3 linked regions of the Canis lupus familiaris genome follow. The protein of the gene in region 1 purifies or fractionates together with the protein of each later gene. This does not show direct contact. Links are inferred from orthologs where the notes say so. Each region holds a gene or a part of one and is shown in the gene's direction. Other genes may lie near its edges.

Region 1 (3,521 bases):
GAAAAAAAAAAAGGCGAGTGGTTTTGGTAACAATAGCTAGTGCGGCAGAGAAACCAGATTAGGTAGTCACTGCTCAAGTCCCATGGCCACCAGATGAGGTACTTTGAATTCTGTTGGCTCAGGCGAGGCATTTGGCGAGGAAGTGTGAACAATTCCGGCCAGTTTCCTCCGGTCTTTCCTTGATAACTTAACAGAGTTTGAAAAGTCACACAGCACCTTAAAGTCAGTTATCAGTAGGGTCATAGGGAATTTCAGCAGCGCTTGAGCGAGACGAGTGTGCCTGTTTTTTCTACAGAGTACAGTTGACCAAAAGCGCGCCAGCCATCATGAGAGCAATGGCTTTGCCGGTCGCATTCACCTCTTGCCAGATCTCTTACAGCAAAGCCATTCCTCCTCCACTTCCTCCACCTCCTCCTCCCCATCCTCCAGCCAGCCGACACCCACCATGTCCCCACAGACACCCCAGGACAAGCTCACTACTAATGAGGTATGTCTCGCACCACAGCTGGCTGCTTTCCTAGGGTTTGACCAGCACTGCCTAGTAGTTAGTTTGCAGAGGAGACCTTTCCCACGCCCCTCACCCCTCCCTCCCCACCTGCTTTCTTCTGTCACCTACCCTTCTCCCCAACCCCAAGTAACATGTCTCAGATCTGCATACAAATCCCGTAACCCTAGATCAATGTCCCTCCAACTTGCCAGTTCACTGTTTACTTTTCTCTAGATAAGTGTAGTTGCATGGCTTCTTTATTCAGTTTATTTTATAAAAGTCTAAATAAAATGCTGTGTTCTCAGATCCATTATGTATTTGGCATGAAATTCTTGTAGTCCTTTGTGGAATCTGCTTTTTTGATTCTTTTTATCTGAAAAATAAAATACAGAAAAAATTGGTTAAGCTGACTTGGCCTTATCTGGACACGCTTGTTATCCTCTATAGGAATCTCCTTCAAATAGGCCTGGGTTGCTTTTTGTTTTTGATGGGGGAAGATTGTTGATTGGTTAATCCTTTGTTTTCACCCACTCTGTTAAAAAGGACTTATTTGCAATCACTCAGAGTTTAAGTAAAGGCCAAATGATTTTTAGGGAAATCTAGAAAATTAGGGTGTTAAGAGCAAAGATCTGAGCATGCTTTTAATTTAAAATTTTGAGTGGGAAATCCTGTGTGCTCGTTTGAAGGCTTGGCTGTGGTGCTCACTCAGTCTGGGTACTAGTTGGGTGATGCTTTGCTCTTTGGAACAAGATTATGCCCCCAGTGCAGTGAGAGAGTCCCCCTTGAGCACCCTATACTAAATTAAAACAAGCAGTTTGATTTCTTGGGAAGTTTGGTTGAAATGCACTTGTCTAACAGTTGAACGAGGTTGAAAGTGGCACGTAGCTTCAGCCAGTCTTGTTAATGTAAACATTTACTCCCAGCCTGTATCTACCTGCTCCTGTGTTGGTTCCCTTTTTAGAAAGAATCAGAATATAATTCTTTCCCCCTGAGGAGCCAGGGGCAAGTAAGGTGGGCTTGCATAAGACTGGCCATTGGATGGACTGGCCATTGGTCATAGGGCAGGGTGGGAAGCTTGCCAGCAGGCGGCTATATCCAGTGGGAGGAGAAAGCCTGGGAACCTGGGCAGGCTTGGGCTCTAGCACACGGTGACTTTTAGCTGCCCACGGAGGGCGAAAGATTTCAGGACTAAAGCACTTGATCGGAAGTGTTCTTTTTTTCTCCAGTGATATATGCCACCTACACTCAACATTTCTCCTTATATTTATATTTAAACTTGGCTCCATCTTGCTCTAATGTACAGTATTTACTATAACCCTTAACTCACTAAACTGGCAAGTTTATTTTTCTGTTTGTTTTGTTTTTAATTGTCATTACATTTCCACTTAACAATTTGTTTCACTTTCTTTGTGTTTTTTTTTTTTTGTCTTAAGTTACACTATTAACCAAAACACTAGTGCTCCTAAAAGAGCTAAAGTATGTACCATATCTTGTCGTTTGCACCTTTCACTAATGAGCCCCTGTTCAATATGGGTTTACTGATGATGCACCTAAAACGGTGGTAGCCAAAGCTTCTGTAGCTTTCTGGCAAGAGGCTCACGTTAAATAATACAAAGTAAAGATTTGCCAATATTCCAACATAGGTTAATTGGCCTCTTTTAGACAGAGGAGTAAATTCAGAAATTGATGAATTAAGATAGACATTTCAAACCTCCTTTAGGAGTTTTTGTTTTAATTATTTACTTAAAAAGAAAAACAAAAAACCTAGGAGCGTGAAATATAGATTTTGTTGGTAGTTCGCAGCATTCCTGTCTTAGATGAACAGTATTTCTGAAAAGAGATGTAGCTCTTTTGGTGGTTCCAGGTTGTACGGCCTGTTGGTGGGGTGTGTTGTGCACATGCAGAGCCCCCCTCCCCCAGAGAGCTTTTGGGGGGAATGATGCAGGAGGGACAGGGCTTGCTAGTGGGAAACTGTGCAGTAGAGAAGTGGCTTGAAATGTTTTGTGTTCATCTTTTTAATGTCATTTGTATTAATAAAATTGAAATTTACATTGCAGACTCAGTCCGCTAGTAGCACACTCCAGAAACACAAATCTTCCTCCTCCTTTACACCTTTTATAGACCCCAGATTACTACAGATTTCTCCATCTAGTGGGACAACAGTGACTTCTGTGGGTAAGTAAACCAGCGACAAGAAAGCAGCTGACAAATAGGACTCGGTCACTTTGTGTTGCTCTTTCTGATGGCTTAGGCATGACGTGGTGGTGGTGTGCAGGCACAGACCTCGGATACAGAAACACCCATCTCGTTTGCATTGCTTTACTTGCAATGAGCTGCATAGTCAGTTTCCCTTTTCCATATACATTTCTTACAAATTTCTTTTCCTTGACATTATAGCATATGAATATTTACTTTAGATGTGGTAGGAGAGGGAGACAGATGCAGCATTTGTGTGTACAGAAGATAATTTCAATTGTACTCTGTTCTAGTGGGATTTTCCTGTGATGGAATGAGACCAGAAGCCATAAGGCAAGATCCTACCCGGAAGGGCTCAGTGGTCAATGTGAATCCCACCAACACTAGGCCACAGAGTGATACCCCGGAGATTCGTAAATATAAGAAGAGATTTAACTCCGAGATTCTGTGTGCTGCCTTATGGGGTAGGTATCTTACGGCCACTGTGATGTCATTTTTTTATTTTCCTGAGGGTAGACTGGTCTTTTAGAGAAGGTAGTATTTTGGACAGTTGGGGGATTTTGTAAAGAGTTGTTGAGACAGATAAGTTGGAAGACTTCTGTAATGCGTACCCTTGTTACCTTCTCCTGCAGAATCATGCAGGTATATGTGCGTGCTTGCACTCTTTTCAGCCACCAGGTATTGGAATGGAAACTCCTCTCCCATTTCTTCATGTAAAGAAAAAAAGTGAAAAGATGAGGACATTTGATTTGGTCCTTACTTACAGGGAAAATGAAGAAGCCTATTGGATTGTTTTTAAATGCTTCAGTTTGACATTTTTTCCCTGCTCTTCATGACT
Region 2 (3,521 bases), on another chromosome or scaffold:
GGGAGTGGAGTCTGTGGTTAGAAATTGTAATAAACAGTATGAAGATAAAAGTAATATGAAAGAGAGTCTCTTTAGATATAGTCCAAAACAGTGACATTTAAGACAAAATCTAAAGGATGAAAGGAAACCTTCAGGGGTTCCTGGTGGCTCAGTCATTTGAGTGTCTGACTCTTGGTTTTGGCTCAGTTTATGATCTCAGTGTCGTGGGACTGAGCCTGGGACAATCTCTGCACTAAGCACAGAGTCTGCTTGAGATTCTTTTTCCCTCTGTTCCTCCTGCTCGCTCGCTCACTCTCTCTCTCTTTCTCTCAGATAAATAAATAGATAAATAAATAAGTAAATTATTTTAAAAAAAAAAAAGAAGCTTTTAATAAAGAATTTTAAGCCAGGAAGTGACCAGTAAAGGTGGATTTTAAAAGGTGACTCTGGTTATTATAAGGAGAATAGATTGGGGTGGGAAAAGTGAAGAAAAGAATACAAATATAATGTTATAATGTAAAGTTGTAGTGTAAGGGTCTAGTAGACTAGGTGAAAGGTGATGTTTCCATGGTCATGAGGACAGTGAAGCAGTTGGTAGCAGAGTGGTTGGGAGAGAAACGGATTTGGGATGCACTGGGAAGTAGATAGGATAGGCAGAATCTGGTGATAAAGTGGATAGTGATTGAGTGGACAAAGTGATGGGTAAGTGATTCTTAATTTTGTTACTTTGTAAAACAGCTTTATTAAGATATAATTCACATGACAAAATTCACCTTTTTTATGTATACAGTTCAGTAGTTTTTATTATATTCACAGGACTGTGCATCCATCACCACTAATTCAGGACATTTTTATCACCACTTCTGAATTTTTTTGACATGAGCAGTTGGTATATAATGGTAGCATATTGAAATGGGGGCAGAACAGGTGTGAAAAGATTAAAGATGATGGCTTTAGATTTCAGTCATGTTCAGGTTACTACTATCAAGTAGTTAATAATCAAGATAGGAGAATGGATTGTATAACACAGGGGAAGTTATGTTGTGCAGGGCACAAAGGGAAGGCAAGTACGGAGGAACTCTGACATTGGGAGAGTGACTAGAGCAGGAGAGCCAGCAAAGAAAACTGAGAAGGAGAGAGACCAAGGTGGCTCAGCGGTTGAGCACCTGCCTTCGGCCCAGGGCATAATCCTGAAGTCCCGGGATCGAGTTCCCTATCAGACTCCTTGCGTGGAGCCTGCTTCTTCCTCTGCCTGTGTCTCTGCCTCTCTCTCTCTCTCTCTCTCTCTGTGTGTCTCTCATGAATAAGTAAATAAAATCTTATAAAAAAAGAAAACTGAGAACGAGTGGCCTGTGAGGAAGGAGGAGGTACAGGAAAATGTGGGATCATGGAAGCATGCCAAAAGAAAAAAACATTTTGAGAACAAGGTAGCAATCTGCACTTTCATATTTTGCTAAGAGGTCTAATATGAGGATAGATAGCAAAGTTCCTTTTTTTTTTTTATATGACAAATAGGTCACCTGGGTCTTAGCGAGAGGTTGGATGCTGGGACTAAGATCAGAGCAGAGGGTGAAGGGACCTGTGGGCAACTTTTCAAGGCACACTCTGGATGAAAAGCAATGTGATGAGAATAACCAAGAAAAGAAATGTTCAAAGAAAGAAAAATTTGGGGAACCTGAGTGGTTCAGTCGGTTAAGTGTCTGCCTTTGGCTCAGGTCATGATCACAGGGTCCTGAGAAGGAGCCCCATAACAGGTTCTCCTCAGCAGGGAGTCTGCCTCTCCCTCTTCCTCTATGCTTACTCTTTTGTTTTCTCACTCTCTCAAATAAATAATCTAAGAAAAGAAAAATTTTATTAAACTTGTTAGAAGAAAGTTTGTCATTGGTGATTTTAGCAAGAGTTATTTTGGTGGAAAAAAAGTTATTTTGGTGTAGTGATGCTATGAGAAACCATGTTACACTGATTTAGAGAGTGAATGAAAGGTAAAAAAGCATTTTACTCAATATGCTCTTCTGCTATCTGTTGGAAGGGTGATACAAGGTTTTTATTTGAGTCAGTAGATTCTAGAGCATATTTGTTTGCTGTGGTAATGATCCTAAGGAGAAGGAGAATTATTGTATAGTAGGGAAACTATAAACATGAAAGCAAGTTAGTAGGTTGAATGGAATCCAGAATTTACCTGATAGAATTATCATTTGAGAAGAAAGTAGACAGTTCTTCTATCTGGAAGCAAGGAGTAAGGTGGCTCTAGACACTAGTAAGTAGATTGAGTGGAGGAAAGACAGGAGAGGGGTTCTTAATTTCATTGCTGTATTTTCTCAGTGAAATCGATAATCAGAGATAATCATTCTGAAGAAGGGAAGTTGGAAACTGAAAATTCTGGAGATAATAAGAAATAGTTGTGGGAAGTCGGAATTTTCTAAAGAAACAGGATTGTAGGCCAGATGGTGCACAGTGTTATTATTAGCCACCATGTCCATCAAACGGTAAATGGATACGTAAAATGTAGTATATCTATTCAATGGATATTATTTGGCATTTAGAAGAAATTCTTTAAAAAAAAAAAAAGAATGTTATAGCATGTCTCTCATGTACTGAGAGACATGCTATAGCATGGATGAACCTCGGAAACATTATGCCAGTCACGAAAGGCCAGTTGTATGAAATGTCCAGAATAGACAAACTTAGAGAAACAAAGTAGATTAGTGGTTATGTGGGCTGCAGAAAAGCAGGAAGAATTGGCAGTGGGGGGTGGGAATGGCTAATAAGTGATGGAAATGTCCTCAAATCGATTGTATAATAAAAGCCATTGAATTGTACACTTTCTTTTTTTTAAGATTTTATTTGTTTGAGAGAGAAAGAGGGCGAGCAAGAGTGGGGGCAGACAGGGGCACAAGGAGAAGGACAAGCAGACTCCCTGCTGTGGAGCCCAACATGGGGCTTGATTCCAGGTCCCTGAGATCATGACCTGAGCCAAAGCTAGGCATTGGGCAGCTGAGCCACCCAGGTGCCCCCTCGAATTATACACTTTAAATTGGTGAATTATGTGATACGGGAATTATATTTCATTAAAGCTGTTTCTTGAAAGTGTATGTTCTTTATAGAAAATTCCAAGAATACAGGAAAGAATTATGGTGGGGATAAAAAATAACCCATAATTCCACAATTTAAAGATGACCACTTCAGTTCTTCTTATGACCATTATGGGTAGTCTTTATACTTAATTATATGGTGAGTTATCTTTATCCAAAACATTTTTTTCCAACTTCTTTTAGCTAATTTGTGTTTGTTTGTTGTTTCTTCCCAGAGCCAAATGTTCTAGCTGGCACTTTAGTTGCACATACAGATGCTGTCTGGGGTCTTGCTTATAGTGGCATAAAAAATCAATTACTGTCTTGTTCAGCAGATGGCACTGTTAGGTTATGGAATCCACAAGAAAAATTGCCATGTATTTGCACTTACAATGGAGACAAGGGTAAGTAAATTTTGCCCTATAAAAAAAAAAAAACGCTAATTTTTTTAGAATTTGGAAGATAGAAAGG
Region 3 (3,521 bases), on another chromosome or scaffold:
TTCTAGGCATTTTACTCACCTTGGGGTGTGTGAAGGAAAGTTACTAACTGAAAAGATTATTACCTAGAATTAATAGCCTATAGAAAGCTACCGTGACTCTCCTCTTCTGCAGTTGATCCAAGTTGTTTCTGATAACACTGACTATATTTAAACAAAATATGTGGATCAGAGAACACCGGACAAGTGCAAATTTCTAACCCTGGCTGGGTGGCCAAGCTGGAGGTGGTCCAATTTCTTCTGAAAAATCTGTCCTGTCCTTCACTGGGAGGCAGACCGAAGGTTTAACATTATTTTAAGAGATGCAGTAAATGTTGCTATTTATTCCTTGAAAATAAATAACCTCATATTGACCCATTGTATTGACCTCCATTGATTTAGGAAATGGATAGTTTTTCTGCATTTAAAGGTATGAGCTTAATGTTGCTTAAGAGACATTAAGTGCTTTACCAAATACAATGTGCCAATTCCACTTCGTATTCAAATTACAGTACTCTAGTGAAGTTTTCCAGTAACCACATATAGCTACTTCACGATTTTTTTTTCCTTTAAAGAAATGAGTATAGTGACCAAACCAAAGTACAGTTTGTGTGGGTTTGAATTCCAAAGCAATAGTAGTATCATAACAGCATTTCCCCCCCAGAAAGTACCAAAGTATCAAAGGTGCTATTTGACAGGCATTTTCTTTCTAAAGGATCCTCAAGAGATTTGTTATTCTATTAGCTGACTCTCTTGAGGCTAGAAGTCTTTTGAAGGATTTTTTATATGATTTCCATTATATATGCTGCTGTTTTAGGCATAAATACGAAGTGAAAAACTGACATTATTTCAACAGAGACAAACTCTTTCAAGCCCGACTATCATAAATTTGGTTTCTCATTTGAACTTGTGTTTCAGTAAGGACACGGGGAAAAAAGCTTAACCTAGAAGATCAAATTGATAACATGAGCAGACAAAATCGTTGCGAACATCAAATGGTGTTTTCATACATATTCACAGTCCTCTGCTTTTCCTCCTTCCCACAAGTGAATATTCCATTTACTGTTAACTATTCAAATTAAACACGTTTGATATTTAAGTCAAACCTTTTAAGTCATAGAAAATTAAAAATATTGTGAAGTTAGTATTAAATCTATAAAACTGCCTTAAATCAATACTCCCCACCCCACCCCACCCCCCGCCACTAAAGTTGATGCTACCTGAGAATCAGCAAGGCTCTTTTTATCAGTTGTAATTAGAAAAAAATAATACACTTGGGGAGAAAATTCAAGTTGTAAAACCTAACTAGGCAAAAAGAAGTATGACTTTCTCCCTGCCCAGACTCCTCCTAGGTGTATTTGTCCCTCCCAGGAGCTGCTCACCGTTAATTTGGTTTCTAGTGTATTAAAATACACTAAAATACCTTAAAAGGTGTTTGATTTTACTGGGATGAAGGCCTACCATTATATTTAAAATGAAATGTTTAAGTGTATAAATCTGTTTTGAATTGGCCTTCTAGGCATGACCCGGTGTTTTTGTTGCCACCTGAAACACTTTCTCTCAGGCACTCTTGCTAAATGGCTAGGAATGCCTAGATGCCACAAGCCTGTGGCAGGATAACAGGTGTTTTCAGGAGTGCTGACAAGCTGGCAGGTTTAAGGCAATACCTAAACATCCTTATGTACAAATGAATTCATATTTGGGAACTTTTAAAATCAGGACAGACTAGGGGAAAGAAGTATGAGTCCTAAGGTTGGTGTGTGCAGCCTACATTTTATATTCTTGACAGAAACCCAGCAGGTGGGATCTGTGGAAATTATCAAGCTCCTACTTCAGTGGAGAAAAATGTTTATTTTCTCCATTTAGGTATATGGTTTTATTTTGGAGTCAGCTTTCTGTAATCCCTGAGGGATGACTTTTTGTGATATTATAATACTTCTGTTATGGTCATACAGACAGCATAATTTTATTTTCTCTTTGTGATTGTTTGAATAGGATATCAAGCCCATGAGAGATCAGATTGTCAGAGTGAAGAGATATGAAAAAGTCCCACTGATCCTAGTGGGAAATAAAGTGGATCTGGAACCAGAAAGAGAGGTTATGTCTTCAGAAGGCAGAGCTCTGGCTCAAGAATGGGGCTGCCCTTTCATGGAAACATCGGCAAAAAGTAAATCAATGGTGGATGAACTTTTTGCTGAGATCGTCAGGCAAATGAACTATTCATCCCTACCCGAGAAGCAAGATCAGTGTTGTACAACTTGCGTTGTCCAGTAAAAAAAAAAAAAAGAAACCTCAATCATGGCCATACCGAGCAGGTTAGTTGTCAGTGGAAACTTATGAGTCCAAGAGTGTTTTGATTTTGATCGAATATGACAAAAAGCTGGTTAATATTAATACACATTGTGCTACCTTCAATTTCCTTATTTGTTTTTAAAATAACATTTCCCTTAGCACAAAATAGTCACCATGCAATGAAGAAAATAGAGATAAGCAAAATGAAGGTAAGAGATTTCCTGTATTCCTATCACTAAGATATATTTTTAAAAGTGAATTAACTGTTCTCTTTCTGCTTCATTGGTAACATTCCTTTGGGTGGGGTGAGTTAAAGGATAATACACCTTTTCCCTGTTCTAGTGATTTCACACATCCAATAATAATTTCAGAAGATGATTGGTTTTATGTTTTCGGCACTTTTCTGTCCCAGGCTAGAGAGCTGCTATAATTGAAATCATCAATTTACTAATCACCCAAGTGCTTGATTTAATAGGATGATTATTTAATCAAGTTCATCTGTACCTTGCACTTAAGAGATTTAAGTGACCTCTGATAATAACAAATTGTAGTGCCACAGCTTACCTTGACTTCATTATGAATATATGGTCCAATTGAGAATCTGGTAAAATCATCTGTGTTGTGTTAGAAGAGACACACCCAAGCCCAGGCAACGTTTTATTCAGTTTAATAAATAATGGAGTTATTAAGAACATTAACAAGACCTTCACACCTTTCATTGAGTTGAATGATAACTTCATAAAAGTTTTTTCAGATGAATGAGTTTTTGAAAAAGCAAGGTTACATAAGACTTACTGAGCATTTTAAATGGGATTCTTTTATTCATATCATGATCTTTTAATCTAGATTATAATTGGACAGATAGTCTCACTTAGATAGTAACCCTTACATAACAAGATAAAACAACCAATATCCTGGATGACTGTGAAACCACAGCAAATGGCTGACTAGCCTGACAATCTCAGGACTGGAATTGATTGTTTTGAGCCAGGACTGACCTCAAGTCTAGGAGGCAGTGTTGCAAATGGCAACAGGCATTTCAGATTGCAGTGATGATTCCTAATCAAAGGTCTGGCTTTATATGTGCTCCCTGAAGAAAAGAGTAACCATCCCTAATTTATCTTTTCAGACAGATACTGTCAGGTACTGTTACCTTTGAAAATGAAGGATGACAACAGTGCTTTATTCAAAATGCTTTCACACATCAGCTATTTAGCATACTGGAATATGATGAAAACACATTTATTTTCTAA

What was found.
Region 2: the proteins of MAP4K4 (region 1) and STRN3 purify together in Homo sapiens (affinity purification with mass spectrometry; 4 studies listed by BioGRID and IntAct, with this or other methods). This does not show direct contact. The link is inferred for Canis lupus familiaris from reciprocal best matches to the Homo sapiens genes MAP4K4 and STRN3.
Region 3: the proteins of MAP4K4 (region 1) and RAP2C purify together in Homo sapiens (affinity purification with mass spectrometry; 3 studies listed by BioGRID and IntAct, counting the BioPlex papers as one, with this or other methods). This does not show direct contact. The link is inferred for Canis lupus familiaris from reciprocal best matches to the Homo sapiens genes MAP4K4 and RAP2C.

What each region holds. Positions count from the first base shown.
Region 1 is NC_049231.1:42,160,814-42,164,334, reverse strand, and holds part of MAP4K4 (mitogen-activated protein kinase kinase kinase kinase 4), read left to right. Parts: intron 1-295; coding exon 296-487; intron 488-2,544; coding exon 2,545-2,662; intron 2,663-2,976; coding exon 2,977-3,147; intron 3,148-3,521.
Region 2 is NC_049229.1:10,381,926-10,385,446, reverse strand, and holds part of STRN3 (striatin-3), read left to right. Parts: intron 1-3,286; coding exon 3,287-3,454; intron 3,455-3,521. UniProt on the Homo sapiens protein: Calmodulin-binding scaffolding protein which is the center of the striatin-interacting phosphatase and kinase (STRIPAK) complexes.
Region 3 is NC_049260.1:104,062,653-104,066,173, reverse strand, and holds part of RAP2C (ras-related protein Rap-2c), read left to right. Parts: intron 1-1,971; coding exon 1,972-2,250; 3' UTR 2,251-2,291; intron 2,292-3,521. UniProt on the Homo sapiens protein: Small GTP-binding protein which cycles between a GDP-bound inactive and a GTP-bound active form. May play a role in cytoskeletal rearrangements and regulate cell spreading through activation of the effector TNIK.